2 linked regions of the Caenorhabditis elegans genome follow. The protein of the gene in region 1 purifies or fractionates together with the protein of each later gene. This does not show direct contact. Each region holds a gene or a part of one and is shown on either strand. Other genes may lie near its edges.

Region 1 (7,732 bases):
TAAAGTGAGTCCGAAAATTGACAAAAGTCGACAAATAAGACTCCAAAACATTGTTGTCCAAAATTTGAAAATCTAAGACCGATTTATTTCTTTTTTCAGAGCTTTTTTGGACGTAACAAACCAAAAGTCGAGGATGTTTCTCAACCGATTGTACCAGTCATCACTGGTGATCCATTGAATCCCGATTGGACATCTAATTCCACGAGTTCCATGTCTGCGTCGTTCCGGTCTTCGTCTACAGTAACCGCAGCAACATCATTCAAACATAGTCACACTTTTGCTGCGGATCCCATCAAGACTACGGACTGGGAAACTCCGAGAAAAGATACTTATGGATCTACAAATCAGCGACAGCCTCAAAACATTTATAAATTCGAACAAGAACACGTTGAACAAACTTATCAAATTGAGAAAATTGAAATGGACGATACACCGCCAGAGTTGCCAAGTAGAGGTGCTTCAAGAAATCCAGAAGATCAGATGACTAGAGGAGGTAGGTATATTGAATGTATTTAGTAAGGAAGGAAAGTTGATTTCTGTTTGGTACTGATTAAGAGATGGGCTTCAGTTTTCAAAAAAAAAAAGATAGGTGCCAGTGTTTGTAGAGCTTCTCAGTAGGCAGCCTCATTGCAACATCTGCTGAATAACTCTCAAATATGTTTTCAAGCTTTTACCAAACAGTTGCAATTTTGGAAAGTAAATTTTGATAAAAGAACTTGACTCAAGGGGGGTCAAAGATTGTCAGATGTTTCCAGGAGTGGTGTTTTTTTAACTTTTATTATTATTATTCGGACATTCTTCATATACTGTTTATTTCCAGGTCTCTCAACTCCTCGAATTCCAACTCATCGTGACTCCTATCGTTGGGCTACAAAACCAGACACTGTACCGAAGCAGACTCCTCCTCCAACTCCAAATGCACCTTCACATTCTCATCAAGTTGATCAGTTTGCTGAGTTCAAACTAGTGGAACCTAAAACACCAACACGAGTGGCTCCACCGCCCCCTCCTTCGGCTCCGCCTACTATTAAATTCCCTATTTCGACTGGACCATCGTACTCTTCGACAACTCCACCTACCACTCCAAAACCTGCTCCTCCTCCTCCATCACGTATTCCAAATCCTTCTCCTTCTCCGCAACCTGCCGAAGTTAGTAAATCTCCACCACCACCTCCACCACTTCCACCGATTGCAACGCCTTCTTCTGTACCTCCACCTCCACCTCCACCTCCACCTCCACCACCGGCTCTAGAACAAGAAATCTCTGGGCCACCAACAGTTAGATTAACTGCTGTTCCAGAATCTAATTCTGATCGAAGAAGTCTAATGGATGTAAGTTTCGACTTAATCAATATTTTTCTATGAATCTTTTTCAGCAAATCCGTTCAACCGATCGTTCACAAGTCTTGCGTAAAGTCAGTGATACACCTGAAACGAGGCAATCTGTCCCATCAACGACGTCTGGAACAATTGTCGATCAGATTCAGAACTTCCTCGATGCAAGAAGATCCGGAATAAATCCAAGTGATTCCGAAGAATCTGACGACGACGATGACGAATGGAGTGATTAGGATTTTTAATTGTAAACTAGACGGAACATTAGACTTTTGCAATAAAATCCGTTTATTCTCAGTAATATTATTCACAAGTGAAATTGAATTTATATTTAACATGATTATTAGTAGAAGCGAAGAAATACTGAAAACTCAAATATTAATATTGTAGAAAACAACTTCCGAGAGATGAATATCAATTGACTTCAATTCAAGTGAACGGAACACTACCAACCCTTTTATATGCACAATTGACGCATCGCGAACCTTTTCCTGAAATTTTTAAAATTTGAACTATGCTTTCCAAATTGGCTAGGATTCGTACCTGAATATTTTTTTTGAATCTAGTAACTTTCTCTTCCTCTTCTACGATATTGCTTTCAGAATCCCAATCTTCACAAATGTCCAGCTCCGTTTTCTGAGATTTTGATTATATTTTAAGAGTGGTCGAAAAATGAGAAACTCACAATCAATTCCAAAGGGATTGTAAGAAATACTCCATAAGTTTCAATAGAAATACGAATCCGAAATGCAGCGTGGAAACTTTCCATTGCTTCTGAAAATGAATATGGTTCGATTCTTTACATTGTTGACTCCATAAAAGGCTAACCTTGACAGAACCGACAATTTGTTGGGATATTGTTTTGTGCATACTCAACGTGATTGTATTCGACATGACAAGTTGTACAGTTCAATACATATTGCACAAATTGTTCCGAATTCTCATCGTTGAACCAAGAATCATCAATTTCTAGTAAACTGAAATTATATATAAGATGGTCAAAAAATAATCAATATGGGAAATTTTTCGATAATTTTCTTTCTTTTTAAAACTTCATTATTTTCCGTACAAATTCAATAACCGTTTCATATTTATCACCTAGGAATTGACTAATTTTCTGACTTTTGAGTTTCAACAATGTCTCCAGGCCGGTGATAGAACAATTCTCGAGCATTTCTTGAAAGATGTTCCTTTCTTGAAAGTGCAATTTTGTTGAAAAGGCTCTTGATAAATGTATCAGCAAACATCGCTTCTCGGCGCTCAATCTATAACAATATAATTAGCATTTTCAACAAACAGTTGAGCTTACTAATTTGTTTGCCATAGTATCAACTGATGTTTTCCGACCTGACTTTCTTCTTGATTTTCCTAGTTTGCGGAGCGTCTGGAGCTGAAAGTTGTGAAAATTCAATAACACATTAAACTTTTTTCAATTATCTTAACTGACCCTTTCACTGTCTTCATCGCTTTTAGTCCATGATCTTGAGCTGATAATAACAGGATTATCCACTTTTCCGGATTGAGACCAAGCTATAAGATGACAACCTGGAATACTTAAGAAATTGTAATTGTGTCACATAATAAGTTTTACCAAATAATCCGATTTGAGCAATTCCTTCTTTTGAATTGAGAATTGACTGAATTTTGCACCGATGAACTCGTACCACTTGGCGTAGCTGAAATTCAAGCTCCTGGTCTTCTTTTGGTATTACTCGTAAATAGATAGATTGCGTTTCATCCTAAAAATCATATGACAATAATTGATAGAATCGATAAATCACTCACTTTGATAAGAACAACAATTTGGTTGATTTTTTTCTTGATGAAAATTATTTTCCCGTAGAAGTTTTGTGGAGTCGGACCCGGTACCAAATCCTGAATGTGCTGGTAAGTGTATTGCATTCTGAAAATCTGTAAAAATAATTTAAAAGGAATTGGTAAAACAAAAACACAGAGAAAACAAACTAAATTTAAGTTGGCGCTCTCGCTAAACAACACGCGATTCGTAATTTCGGAGCCTCGTTCGTTGCATATTTAATGTTTTCAACGATAAAAATTTCATAATTTTTCTTCAGTTACACGCTTTCTTCATCAATTTGGCAACGGTTTCAACCTAAAAATGGTAACTAAATTTATTAAACATAATTTTTTAGAATGTAAAGGTTTCAGAGCTTTGCTGGACTTTTAGATTTTGCTCGGAAGGATGTCGATCTGCCGCAAAATTCTCCAAACGAATTACTGAAAGATCTACATGCTAACTTTATCAATCAATACGAGAAAAACAAAAATAGCTATGTAAGTGGCAATGTTATATTAGATGTGGAAATAAATTAAATAATTATATTTCAGCATTATATAATGGCTGAACATCTGAGAGTGAGCGGAATTTATTGGTGTGTCAACGCGATGGATTTATCAAAGCAGGTGAGAGAATTTTTAGAATTATTCTGTGTACATAGATAATAAATTCTTTTTTCAGCTCGAGAGAATGTCGACTGAGGAAATCGTGAATTACGTACTTGGCTGTCGGAACACGGACGGAGGATATGGACCTGCTCCTGGTCATGATAGTCATCTTCTACACACACTGTGTGCTGTTCAAACTTTGATTATTTTCAATTCAATTGAGAAAGCAGATGCGGATACAATCAGCGAATATGTGAAAGGCTTGCAACAAGAAGACGGAAGCTTTTGTGGAGATTTATCTGGTAAGTTATATTTCTCTTGAAAAAAACCTTTTAGAAAAAAATTAATTTGAAGGAGAAGTTGATACACGATTCACTCTGTGCTCTCTCGCTACTTGTCATTTACTTGGTCGACTGTCCACATTGAATATCGATTCAGCTGTACGATTTCTCATGAGATGTTACAATACGGATGGTGGATTCGGAACACGCCCAGGATCTGAAAGTCATTCCGGACAGATATACTGTTGTGTTGGAGCTCTGGCGATTGCCGGACGACTTGATGAGATTGATAGAGATAGAACAGCCGAATGGCTTGCTTTCAGGCAATGTGATAGTGGAGGATTAAATGGTAAGACTATTAGATATTTATAAACATAAAATACTTTCAATTCAGGTCGGCCTGAGAAATTACCCGATGTATGTTATTCCTGGTGGGTTCTCGCTTCTCTCGCCATTCTCGGACGCCTCAATTTCATTGATTCTGATGCTATGAAAAAGTTCATATACGCTTGTCAAGATGATGAAACTGGAGGATTTGCAGACAGGCCCGGAGATTGTGTAAGTTTTCTTAATAATATTCAGAAATTTATATTTGTATTACAATCAAATAATGTATTGGCCACAACAAAGCAATTATTTGAGTGTTCCTTCAATAACAGCTAGTTGCATAAGCTGAGAGCGTTTGAGTTCCGAGTCAGTATGTTCCAAAAATTCTTGAAGCATTTTCTTGATAGATGACAGTTTCTCGGATGCAGCCTCTTCCGAATCGGAGCGGACTGAAATCATCACGTGAATCGGTTCTTTGAGATGCTCCCAGCCAACACGTTCACGAAGACGTTCTTCTTTGGCATCATCTTTTGTACATCCTGCAAAATAGAACAGATTATTGATTTCTCAAACTGCAAGATATACCTTTTCCGCGAATGAACAGCTTGCATCCGAGATCTTTTTCGAGTTGGCGAATTGTCATTCCACGTGGACCAATGAGGCGTCCGACTGGATTAGTATTGCTGAAAGGTCATATTTTGGAACGTCCATTCCAATACTATCAACTATACTTGGCAGTCTCGGGAGGAAAGAAAACTTTGTCAATTTTCTCAAACTTCCCCTCTTCCTTATTTTCATTCTCAGAACAACCATTTTTCAAACCTCCAATCAATGACAAAGTCATTGGGCTGAAAGTCTGGCGACGTTGCAGTCCAGGTGGTGGTGTCATCAACAACGGATCATCCTTCAGAAGATTTCTAAGCGAGGATAGATCCATTGATTCATCTTTTCCAGCATTAGCTCTTCCGAGGAAAGAGGGTGGCGGTGTTCCGCTTCCGAGACCATTCACGATCATTTCTGCGTCATAAACACGCTTGATTTCACGAACTAGAAGATTCTGAAAACATGACCCACATGTATACTAAGATCATATATAATCTCAAGCTTACATGAGCATTTCGAAATTTGACACTATCATTCGATTCGTATATGTTAGTCATTATCTGAAGCTCTTTCAACAGATCGTCTAAATAACTGAAAATAATAAAACATTGTCGGAACAGCTGAAAACGTTTATTTATATACCTGCCAGTTGAACAATTAGTTGATGACTCCGGGATGCTCATTTCGCGTTGCGTCGAGACGGAAGCGAATTTCACGAAGTGGTTAATAAACTATTCGGTGAGTACTAAACTATTGATCGATCAAAGTGAAATCTCAATTGAGGGCAGTAGGATAAATAAAAATGGATCACGTTTTCAATTTTCCAAAAAAAAATTTTTGAAGAAATAATTATTAAACGTGCCAATTTAACTTTTATATTTGATTTTTTTCAGGCGGATCCCTTCCACACGGTCTTTGGCATAGCTGCACTTTCTCTGTTTGGAGACGACACATTGGAGTCAGTGGACCCAATTTTCTGCATGACCAAGAGATGTCTCGGTGATAAGCAAGTGGAGATGTATTACTAATTTATTGTAATTATTTAAATTGATACTGATTAAAATAAATTATTATTTAATCTAAGACGTATCGAAAATATCCTGAAATTCAAAACGACCGGACAAACATTATACAATAAACCAATTTATTCTCTATTAACACCTATTCACAAGTAGTATTATCCTCCTCATCCTCCTCCATCATCTTCTCACATGCGAATTGTTCCAGCTGGCTGATCACTTTTTCAGTTTTTGACTTCAATACGGGATCTTTGACATGTTTGAGTCCATAAGTTAATGCAATGATGTAAGTGAACACATACTGTGGAAGAGTCTCGATTGCACACGGACGTTGGGAACGAATCGACATTGCAATTTCCTGAATTATCTTATTTGATTCATTCAAAAACAGTGAAAATACCTTAATATTAGGTGCATCCCCAGCCTGCAATTTTTCAATTGCCTGAACTCCAACTAGAAATGACCCGGCTCTTCCAGCACCGTAGTTGCTCACAATAGCACAAGTTGCGTCACTATCCTGAAAAAAATTAGTTTCAGTGAAATTTAATTAAGGATAACAACTTACAATATCAGAATCAAAGACACTTGCTGCAGTGGCAGCAATCCTTCCGTAGCTAACTGTCGGAATTTTACCATCTGGCCAAAAATCACAAATCTCGATCATTGCGAATGGAGCTTCTGCACAGTCTTTTGGCACAACTTCATAATACAATTGAGTATTCGGTTGTTCATCACTTTTCGACACAGTCTTCCGATTATTGACTCGAATTGTTTTAAATTCTTTGAAATCTTCTGGAAAGTATTCGCTCAGTGCAGCCTTGTCTAGCTCATCTTCTCCAATAAGTATGAAGAGTCTTTGAATTTTCTGTGCGGCAACCATCAACCAAAATGATTCAAGTGAATGTGGAGAGTCGGATAAAGGAAGTTGTGCAAGAATTGTAGACTTTGTGCTTATCTGAATTATATTCAAGTTAACATTCTACAAATAACACTGTCTTTCTCGCAGGGTCTTGCCACGATTTTGGTTAGTATAATGGAGTTGAGGGAGCCCCCCTCTTTCTCTCAATTGCTTACCGATGGAATGGATGTCACAGTTGCGTGATAAAAGAAGTCAGCTTCACCTCCTCCTTTAACTCGATTGGCATCATAAAGTTCCACGTTCTCCGACTGACAATAATCAATATTTTTCTTGAATGCCTGACACTTTTCCAAATCGACTTTCATTGTGTCAATTGGTTTGAAGTCCGCCTCGAGAAGTTTACGAATTTCCACCAGTTTTTCTAGTTGCTCCACCCACGTTTTGACACCTTTCTCAACGTTCTTTCGATTTCCAGAAAGTTCCATTTGACTTTCAGCACGACGGAGAGCTATCGTTGACGGGGTTTTTGATGGACCAGTTTCCTGAAAATATAGAATCTACGTAGAAGATTGAATTACTGATTCTGAGGGCGTTGCAAAATGGAATGTTACTTAGGCCCCTCTTCTAATATGGATTGCAAGAACAGTAAAATAATAGAATTACTTACCTCCTTCTTCTTTTCCAATTTCTTTGCATCTTTTGCCTTTTTAAATCCTTTCGCAGTTACCTCCATACGATTTGTGTCCGTTTTAGTCTTATTATCCGTGGAAGCTCCATGAGAATTTCCAGTTGTCACTTTTGATTTTGATGGAGAACGAGATTTTCTTTTGCTAATCTCTGAGGTTCTCTCTTTAGATGTCTAAATTATATTAATTTAGCTTCCAACTTCTTCAAATCATCTA
Region 2 (7,573 bases), on another chromosome or scaffold:
AGTAGTATTGCAACTCTGCGAACTAAGAGAAAAGTTGCAATACTATAAATATTCCCAATATACTATTTTTTTCGCACAAGAGAAAATAGAAAAATGTGAGTTGATGAGTAGGAAAAATTGTTCTATCTGATTTTTGTCATTATTTCTTCGATATCTTCAATGTTTCAAGGACAACAAATTATAGCAATGAAATTATACAAATTAAAAATAAAATAGTAACGCAGGGGGTACGGTAAGTTCAGAAAATTAAAATATCGATGTTCATTTGGCAATGACAAAAACATGGCATAACATACCACACCCGGTCTATAAATAGATTGAGAATTCAAATGTTTCGTAATTTTGACCACAAAAAATAAATTCACAAGTGTTTTCAAAAAAACCGGGAGGGAGCAAGGAAGCCACGTCCGCATGATAGTCGACAAAAAGTGGGGGAAAAGGCCATAAAGATAAGCAATTGAGAGCAAGAGAAACGTGTACGCGGATGTGACGATCGAAAGGTAAAAAGTAGATCAGAACGGGTTAAAATCAGATATTATTTGGAGCAAAAAAGGACCAAAGAGTCAAAGGGTTTTATTCCCAAAACATTTCTGGGAGATTACAGATGCCTTAATGCTAAATACTACATCTAACATTGTGAAAATTTGTTTTGAAAAATACTAAAAGAGGAAAAAATTGCTATGATTCAAACTCTTCAATAAGATCAACTCAGCCTAATTGGAAATATACTACAATCATTTCTATGTTATTACAGTTGTTATATGATTTACCTTTCACCTCTCATAGAACTTCCATATATTGTTTAGCAGATGTAGTGATAATGATTCAGGTACTCTACAAAAAATTGGATACAAAAATGCCAATATATGGGCGTGGCTTCACAAAGAGCAGTTCAGAAATTCGTCTTCTATGATTCTCAAGAAAATTGCCAAAAGTATTCCTATTCCAGACTAAATAGATCTATTTGAAAAATTTTTATGAGAAGTGCAGTTAATACTTGTCAATAACTTGGAAGGATCTAAAATCAAAAATTTAATATAGGATGTACCGTTTTTATTTTTTAAAGTACTCGAAAATATATATCATTTTAATTTCACACCTCTCTAAAATAACAATTTTAAAAAATTAGAAAAATCATAAATAGGCTTCCCTAGTTACATATATATTCATAAACTAGAAAATGAATAATAATTCATTCTTATCAAAAACTGAAACTAGTCTCTGGAATCAATAAACCAATTCAAATCGTGCCATTGCGGCCGAAGAGCGCTAATAAATTAGCTTGTAAAACTTTGGCAGTGTCGTCAGTGCCTGTGATGATAAGAGAACCGTCCTCTAGCACATTACATGCAAAGTAGTACAATCTGTTAATTTATCAGTAGACACGTGGTGGTCGCCACAAAGCTGAAACTGATGTTCGATAAATGACTAAGCGTTTATTCAACTGACAAAAAATGACATATTTACAGTATCTGGATAAGACAAAATCTACACATTCAGAATTTATTGAATAGTTCTTCTAATTCCTGAATGGCTTTAACTGGTCTATCACAAACGAATCCTTTACACATGTACACTGCAGGTTTCGGTCCTTCAGCCATTGCCTTATGAGAAGGTCCCGATGCTGACAAATCTTCTTCTGATTGAATATGTACAACAGACAGGTTATTCAAGAACTTTTGATTCAGTCGGCTTCGAGTTTCGGACAAAAGTTCAGATTTCGGATCACCAACGAGAACAAATGTGGTAGATCCAATTTGCCATCGATGAAGTGCGACTGCCATTTTTGGTAGGGCGATTGGGACCCTAAAATTAAAAATGTTGCGAGCTCAAGCAAAAGTTGTTCGATATTACGTATTCAGTCGCTCTGAAGCTCCCCGGAAACACTGATTCGCCTTCTCACGATATTCCTCCTTTTCAAGAATGTCATAAAGCCTAAGAAGGTTGTTTGATGCGATTGAAGTGGCTGTGGGCTCTGCTCCATCTTGATCTGAAATTTAAGTGTTATGTGTACTAATCAAAATTAAAATAGTAACCTTCAATCATTCTCACAGAAACATCTTCATCGGTTTTCTCGCTGATGAAGTATCCATTTCCGTTCCAGAACTTTACATCACAAATTTTCTGAAGCTCAACGGCTTTCTTGAGATATTCATCTTTGCCAACTGTTGTATAGAGATCCAAAAGAGCTTGAATCAAAAACGCATAATCGTCAGAAAATGCTCTTATTTCTTGATTGCCTTGTTCAACTTCTCCATTAGCACCCAAATATACAGATCTTCTAAGCTCTCCATTATCGTCTAAAAATTTTCCGATGAATTCTGCACACTTTTCAGCTCGATCCAAATATTTTGTTTCTTCAGTAGCTTGATATGCTTTCACAAGTCCTGTGATTGCTAGTCCTTGCCACGAAGTAACCATTTTTGAATCAAGATGTGGGCTTGGTCTTTGTGTTCGAGCATTCCACAAAATTTCTTTTGCTTCATCGATTCCTTTCTTGAGTTCCGCAACAGATATTTCGTGATTCGTGGCACACTCCTCATCAGTCAGCAACTTTCTCAGGACATTTTTATTCTTCAGTTCACCATGGGGATCCGAAGATCGTGCAACATTTCCACTATCTTCAACATCGAAATAATCAGCAACTACATCGAAAAGTGAAGCTGATCCAATTTTCTTGTCTCCCAATAATTGTTTAATTTCTTCTTTCTCCCAAGCACAAAACGCTCCTTCAACTTTATTCGAAGAATTATGATTTGGCAAGGAATCAGCATCTTCTGCAGCATAGAATCCACCATCTTTATGACTGATCTTTTGCATGTATTGGTAGATGTCATTAATGACATGCTTTACATTATCATGTTTTCTTTCTGTCAATTTATGAAAATCTGAATATGTAGCCAATAGCTGAGATTGATCATACAACATTTTCTCAAAATGTGGAATATGCCATTCGGATCCGACAGAATATCGATGAAATCCATTTCCAATATGATCATGGATTCCTCCATCAGCCATTGATTCCAAAGTTTTTTGAAGCATCATGATACTGTCTTTGGCTTTTTCGGATTCATTCTCGCTTGCAGCAAAAGTGATTAGAAAATCTAAATCACAAGCTTTTGGAAATTTCGGAGCTCTGCCAAATCCTCCAAGTCTGCTGTCAAAAGATGATTGTTTGTGAGAATATATTGATTTGAACACTTCTTCGGATCTATTGACATCCCCAGAAGCAGTTTCAGGTTGAAGAAGTTTGATAATTTGGGCTCCGCGTTGTTTCAAACTCTCTCCTTCTTTTTTCCACTGAAAAATTTTAAAACTTTGGCTAATTTTTAAATGAAAAGATTTTGTGGCACCTACTTCAGTATGAATCATGTTGAGGATAGTTGGAAAGCCGAGCATTCCACGGTTGTCGTCTGGTGGAAAATAGGTTCCGCCAGTGATTGGATGAAGATCCGGTGTTAGGAAAACTGACATTGGCCATCCACCGTGTCCACTTGAAGCCTGAGATGGAGATATTGATTAAAACAATTTTAATTTTGTTTCATACCACGACAAAAGCCATATAGAGTTTATCAACGTCTGGTCGTTCTTCTCTGTCAACTTTGATAGCCACGAAGTTGTCGTTCAGGATTTTTGCTGTTGCCTCATTTTCAAATGATTCTTTTTCCATCACATGACACCAGTGACAAGTTGAATATCCAACTGAAATATTAAAGTTTGTTTGATAATATATTTTGATTATCTACCTGACAGGAAGATAGGTTTGTTATTATCTTTAGCCTTCTGGAATGCTTCTTGTCCCCACGGATACCAATCGATGGGATTGTTTGCATGCTGGAGGAGGTAAGGACTCTTTTCCTGTCCAAGACGATTTTTGTACGTTGAAGTCCTGATTTGTTTTGCTTTACAATTTTCATAATTGAATAAACTTACATTCGGATAACAGTTATTGGTGCAAGCGCTCTTAACATCAACACTGTCTCTGAATTGTTATCTTTTCTAAAATAAATTATCACTAACACGAGCTACCATGAAGTATCATAGAGTAACCAACATTTTTTCCAAATTTCTACTCAAGGTTAAATATTCTCAAACACATTGAATGGAGATCAAATTACTTCATAAAAAATATAAAATAAGTTATTCAGATAGTTAGGCGTCATCAAGAGGATTCTTCTCTGGAGGCGGTCCACACGGCTGAATCATGCGATTTATCAGATTGAAGCGGGTTCGAGCTCGGCTCTCGTTCTCCACAACGGCAATATACGTGTTCATTCCGGGATGAGACATTTGAAAGGCGCGAGTGTCGCGGTGCTGGAATATTATTTGTTTATTCAAACTTTCTATAGATTTTGGCAGTAGCCGTTTACCGTTTTAAAGAAATTTATGAGAAAAAGAGAGAAACAAACCTGATTCACAATCCATTCGTGACGGTTCATGTCGCATGGCCGTACCGGTGTATTTCGATTGAAGATGCTCCAATTGAGCAAGAACGTGGAATCGTTCTCCGGGAAGAGCCATTTTCTGGAAATCTACTAATATTTAACGAAGAAACCAATGTAACAGTGAATTTATATAAATAAAAAAGAGGGAACACATGAAACTTATAGATAAAAGATTATTTAAGAAGTCGTCGCTGTTTTTAAAAACGATAAAAAAAACAAGTGTCGTAAGAATGCGCGCACGAGGTGTAATCGGTGTTTGCGTACTTGTCCACCGTACTCCTATTCGAAAATGTTTTCTTGATCAAAATTGTTAAATTTATATTCAGAATTATTTCGTTTTCAAGATAAAATCATTATGAGCGACCACTTGGGAAGTTCTCATGACGAAGGTGAGCTGTCAGATGAAAGTCACAAGAAAAGTAAGTAGGTTTCACAAGTTTTGAGTGTAACTTATTATTTCTAGGTCAAAGAGCGTCGAGTTCCGATGAGCCAAATCCAGCCAAGTCGAACAAAGGTATATAAAGTGATTAAATTTGAAACTACTAATTATAAATTTCAGGTTTGGAATCAAAAATGCGTGAAAGCATATTAAGTCGTCTGAGCAAGCGGAAGAACAGTGAAAGCGATGATGATACCACAGAACAACGGTTTTCAATACAGCCTAAAAACGCTGTATGTTAATTTTTGTGTATTACTGTTTTAAAATTATTAATTCACAGCAAAAGGCAAAAGAGGACCGATATCGAGATAAAGAAAGAGATAAAAAACGGGAAAAGGACAAACGAGATGACAGAAGAGACGTGCGTGGACCAGATGCTCGACAAAAAGATCGTGATTTCAAAGGTAATCAGCAAATAGAATAAGAGGTACTTATTAATACTTTTAGGACGACAGGAAAGATCTGGAAGAGATCAGAAAGTACATGAACATAGACATCATCACCATCATAGAAAACACGAAACAGATGGGCACCGCACAAACAGAAGTAACAGAGATCGTTCGTCTGAAAGAGACTCAGAAAAACACAAAAGGCATATTGATCGTCATAAAAAGTAAGTTCGTTTCTTTCTGAAAAGAAATTAATAATTTTTGTTTGATTTTTTAGATCCAGCACAACTTCTCCTGATAATGACAAATCGCCACACAAAAAGTCAAAACATACAGATGTTCCAGCAGATGCAAAGCTCTTTGATAGAAGTATTTTAAACCACATACATTTTATAGTGATTTAATTTTGAAAATTTCAGTTCTCGACCCGAACTACAAAAAGAAAGATGACGATGTTCTCGTGATTGAAGATGTAGAAATGTCGCCAATTGAGATATTAGAAGAAAAGGAAGAGAAAGAAATTGTCGAATTCACTATAGACTCACCAGCTGGCCCCAAGAAATACTCAAAATTCGAAAGCGACCCAGAAAGTGATCATGACGATACTAAACCGAAGAGCCCTGGAAAAGCTGAAGACGGTAAAAATTTGCCCAGTATCAAAATTGAAACAATTAAGTTATACTTTTATTCATTTAAATCAATTATAGATGACGATGTCATAGAAGTATTGGATGATGCTCTACATTCGGATGATGATGCAGATAGCGATGAAGATAAATATTTAAAAACACCAGAAGATCGAGAATGGGAAGAAATGACTGAAACTGAACAAAGACTTCATAAAGAAGCAATGAAAAAACGTGCGTCAATGAAACAAAAAACATTGATCGCCCAGTTACCTGTTTTTTATCCCGGTCTCATGGGATGTAGAAATATTGATGAATATGAATGTGTGAATCGAGTTGATGAAGGAACATTTGGAGTTGTATATCGTGGAAAAGATAAACGAACGGATGAGATTGTCGCGTTAAAAAGACTGAAAATGGAGAAAGAGAAAGAAGGATTTCCAATCACTGCTCTTCGTGAAATCAATATGCTTCTAAAAGCTGGAAATCACCCGAATATTGTGAATGTTAAAGAAATTCTACTAGGAAGTAATATGGATAAGATCTACATGGCTATGGAGTTTGTTGAACATGACATGAAAAGTCTTTTAGACACAATGTCTCGTCGAAACAAACGATTTTCGATAGGTGAACAGAAAACACTTCTGCAGCAACTGCTATCTGGAATTGAACACATGCATAAACTTTGGATTCTGCATCGTGATCTCAAAACATCCAATTTATTGATGTCTCACAAGGGAATTCTGAAAATTGCCGATTTTGGACTTGCTCGTGAATATGGAGATCCACTGAAAAAGTTTACATCAATTGTTGTAACTCTCTGGTATCGATCACCGGAATTGCTTCTTGGTACACGTCTCTATTCAACTCCCGTTGATATGTGGTCTGTTGGATGTATTATGGCAGAGTTTATTCTCTTAAAACCATTGTTCCCGGGACGCGGTGAACTTGAACAAATTAAGAAAATTTTCATGGAAATGGGAACTCCCACGGAATCAATATGGCCTGGAGTCACTGAACTCGACGGTTGGAAGGCATTGACATTTGAGAAGTATCCATATAATCAATTGAGAAAGAGGTTCCTAGCTGGAAGACTTCTCAATGACACTGGTTTTAAGTTACTTAATGGGTAAGTTAATTGGTTTTTTTGCGAATATCAATATTTAATTGTTTTTTTTTCAGCCTACTCACTCTGGACCCAAAGAATCGATTCTCCGCTACACAAGCTCTTGATCACGAATGGTTCACGTGAGTTGAACATTATCACTTAAAAATTGTTTAATCTCAAATAACTAATTTCAGTGAAGAACCTTATCCAGTGCCACCGGAGGAGTTTCCAACGTTTCCCGCTAAAAGCGAACAGAATAAAGCTCCACCGCCGGCGAAGCAGAAACAACAAGAAAATCGCATTTCTCATGTGGATCCAGAAACTGCCAAGCTCCTAAAACAATTCGAGGTGCGACCAGAGCAAGTGAAACCCGGTGGATTCTCATTGAAGTTCGATCCAACAAGATTCTGATCTCCGGCTATCTTCCAGTTTATTTATAATTCGGTTGAATTTTTAAAAAGTATGGACATTTTGAAAATGAATTATATTTCATAATTTGGTAGTTTGATTGAAAGCAATGAAGACAAGAAAATGCTACACCCATAGTCAGGCAGAAATTGAAGGAT

Evidence for each region.
Region 2: the proteins of ggtb-1 (region 1) and B0495.5 fractionate together in Caenorhabditis elegans (co-fractionation; one large-scale study listed by BioGRID). This does not show direct contact.

What each region holds. Positions count from the first base shown.
Region 1 is NC_003281.10:7,130,429-7,138,160, forward strand, and holds ggtb-1 (putative geranylgeranyl transferase type-2 subunit beta), read left to right. Parts: upstream 1-3,337; 5' UTR 3,338-3,454; coding exon 3,455-3,457; intron 3,458-3,504; coding exon 3,505-3,630; intron 3,631-3,684; coding exon 3,685-3,759; intron 3,760-3,814; coding exon 3,815-4,043; intron 4,044-4,095; coding exon 4,096-4,371; intron 4,372-4,416; coding exon 4,417-4,580; coding exon of another isoform or gene 4,581-4,888; exon of another isoform or gene 4,889-4,934; coding exon of another isoform or gene 4,935-5,032; exon of another isoform or gene 5,033-5,080; coding exon of another isoform or gene 5,081-5,406; exon of another isoform or gene 5,407-5,458; coding exon of another isoform or gene 5,459-5,543; exon of another isoform or gene 5,544-5,594; coding exon of another isoform or gene 5,595-5,635; exon of another isoform or gene 5,636-5,845; coding exon 5,846-5,980; 3' UTR 5,981-6,097; downstream 6,098-7,732. Other genes in the region: viro-2 (WH1 domain-containing protein), read left to right, coding at 1-4, 100-493, 821-1,332, 1,377-1,571; pot-1 (Protection of telomeres homolog 1), read right to left, coding at 1,452-1,698, 1,789-1,826, 1,879-1,971, 2,021-2,109, 2,164-2,312, 2,458-2,600, 2,645-2,725, 2,783-2,880 and 2 more; B0280.17 (K Homology domain-containing protein), read right to left, coding at 4,656-4,888, 4,935-5,032, 5,081-5,406, 5,459-5,543, 5,595-5,635; Putative tyrosine-protein phosphatase B0280.11, read right to left, coding at 6,114-6,329, 6,372-6,488, 6,537-6,926, 7,046-7,372, 7,498-7,689. UniProt on the Caenorhabditis elegans protein: Catalyzes the transfer of a geranyl-geranyl moiety from geranyl-geranyl pyrophosphate to both cysteines in Rab proteins with an -XXCC, -XCXC and -CCXX C-terminal.
Region 2 is NC_003280.10:7,694,513-7,702,085, forward strand, and holds B0495.5 (thioredoxin domain-containing protein), read right to left. Parts: upstream 3,983-7,573; 5' UTR 3,972-3,982; coding exon 3,934-3,971; intron 3,890-3,933; coding exon 3,747-3,889; intron 3,703-3,746; coding exon 3,548-3,702; intron 3,502-3,547; coding exon 3,358-3,501; intron 3,301-3,357; coding exon 2,037-3,300; intron 1,991-2,036; coding exon 1,855-1,990; intron 1,807-1,854; coding exon 1,497-1,806; 3' UTR 1,423-1,496; downstream 1-1,422. Other genes in the region: Protein moa-2, read right to left, coding at 4,163-4,314, 4,410-4,521; cdk-11.1 (Cyclin-dependent kinase 11.1), read left to right, coding at 4,801-4,864, 4,909-4,959, 5,005-5,117, 5,165-5,288, 5,332-5,497, 5,551-5,642, 5,693-5,911, 5,981-7,028 and 2 more.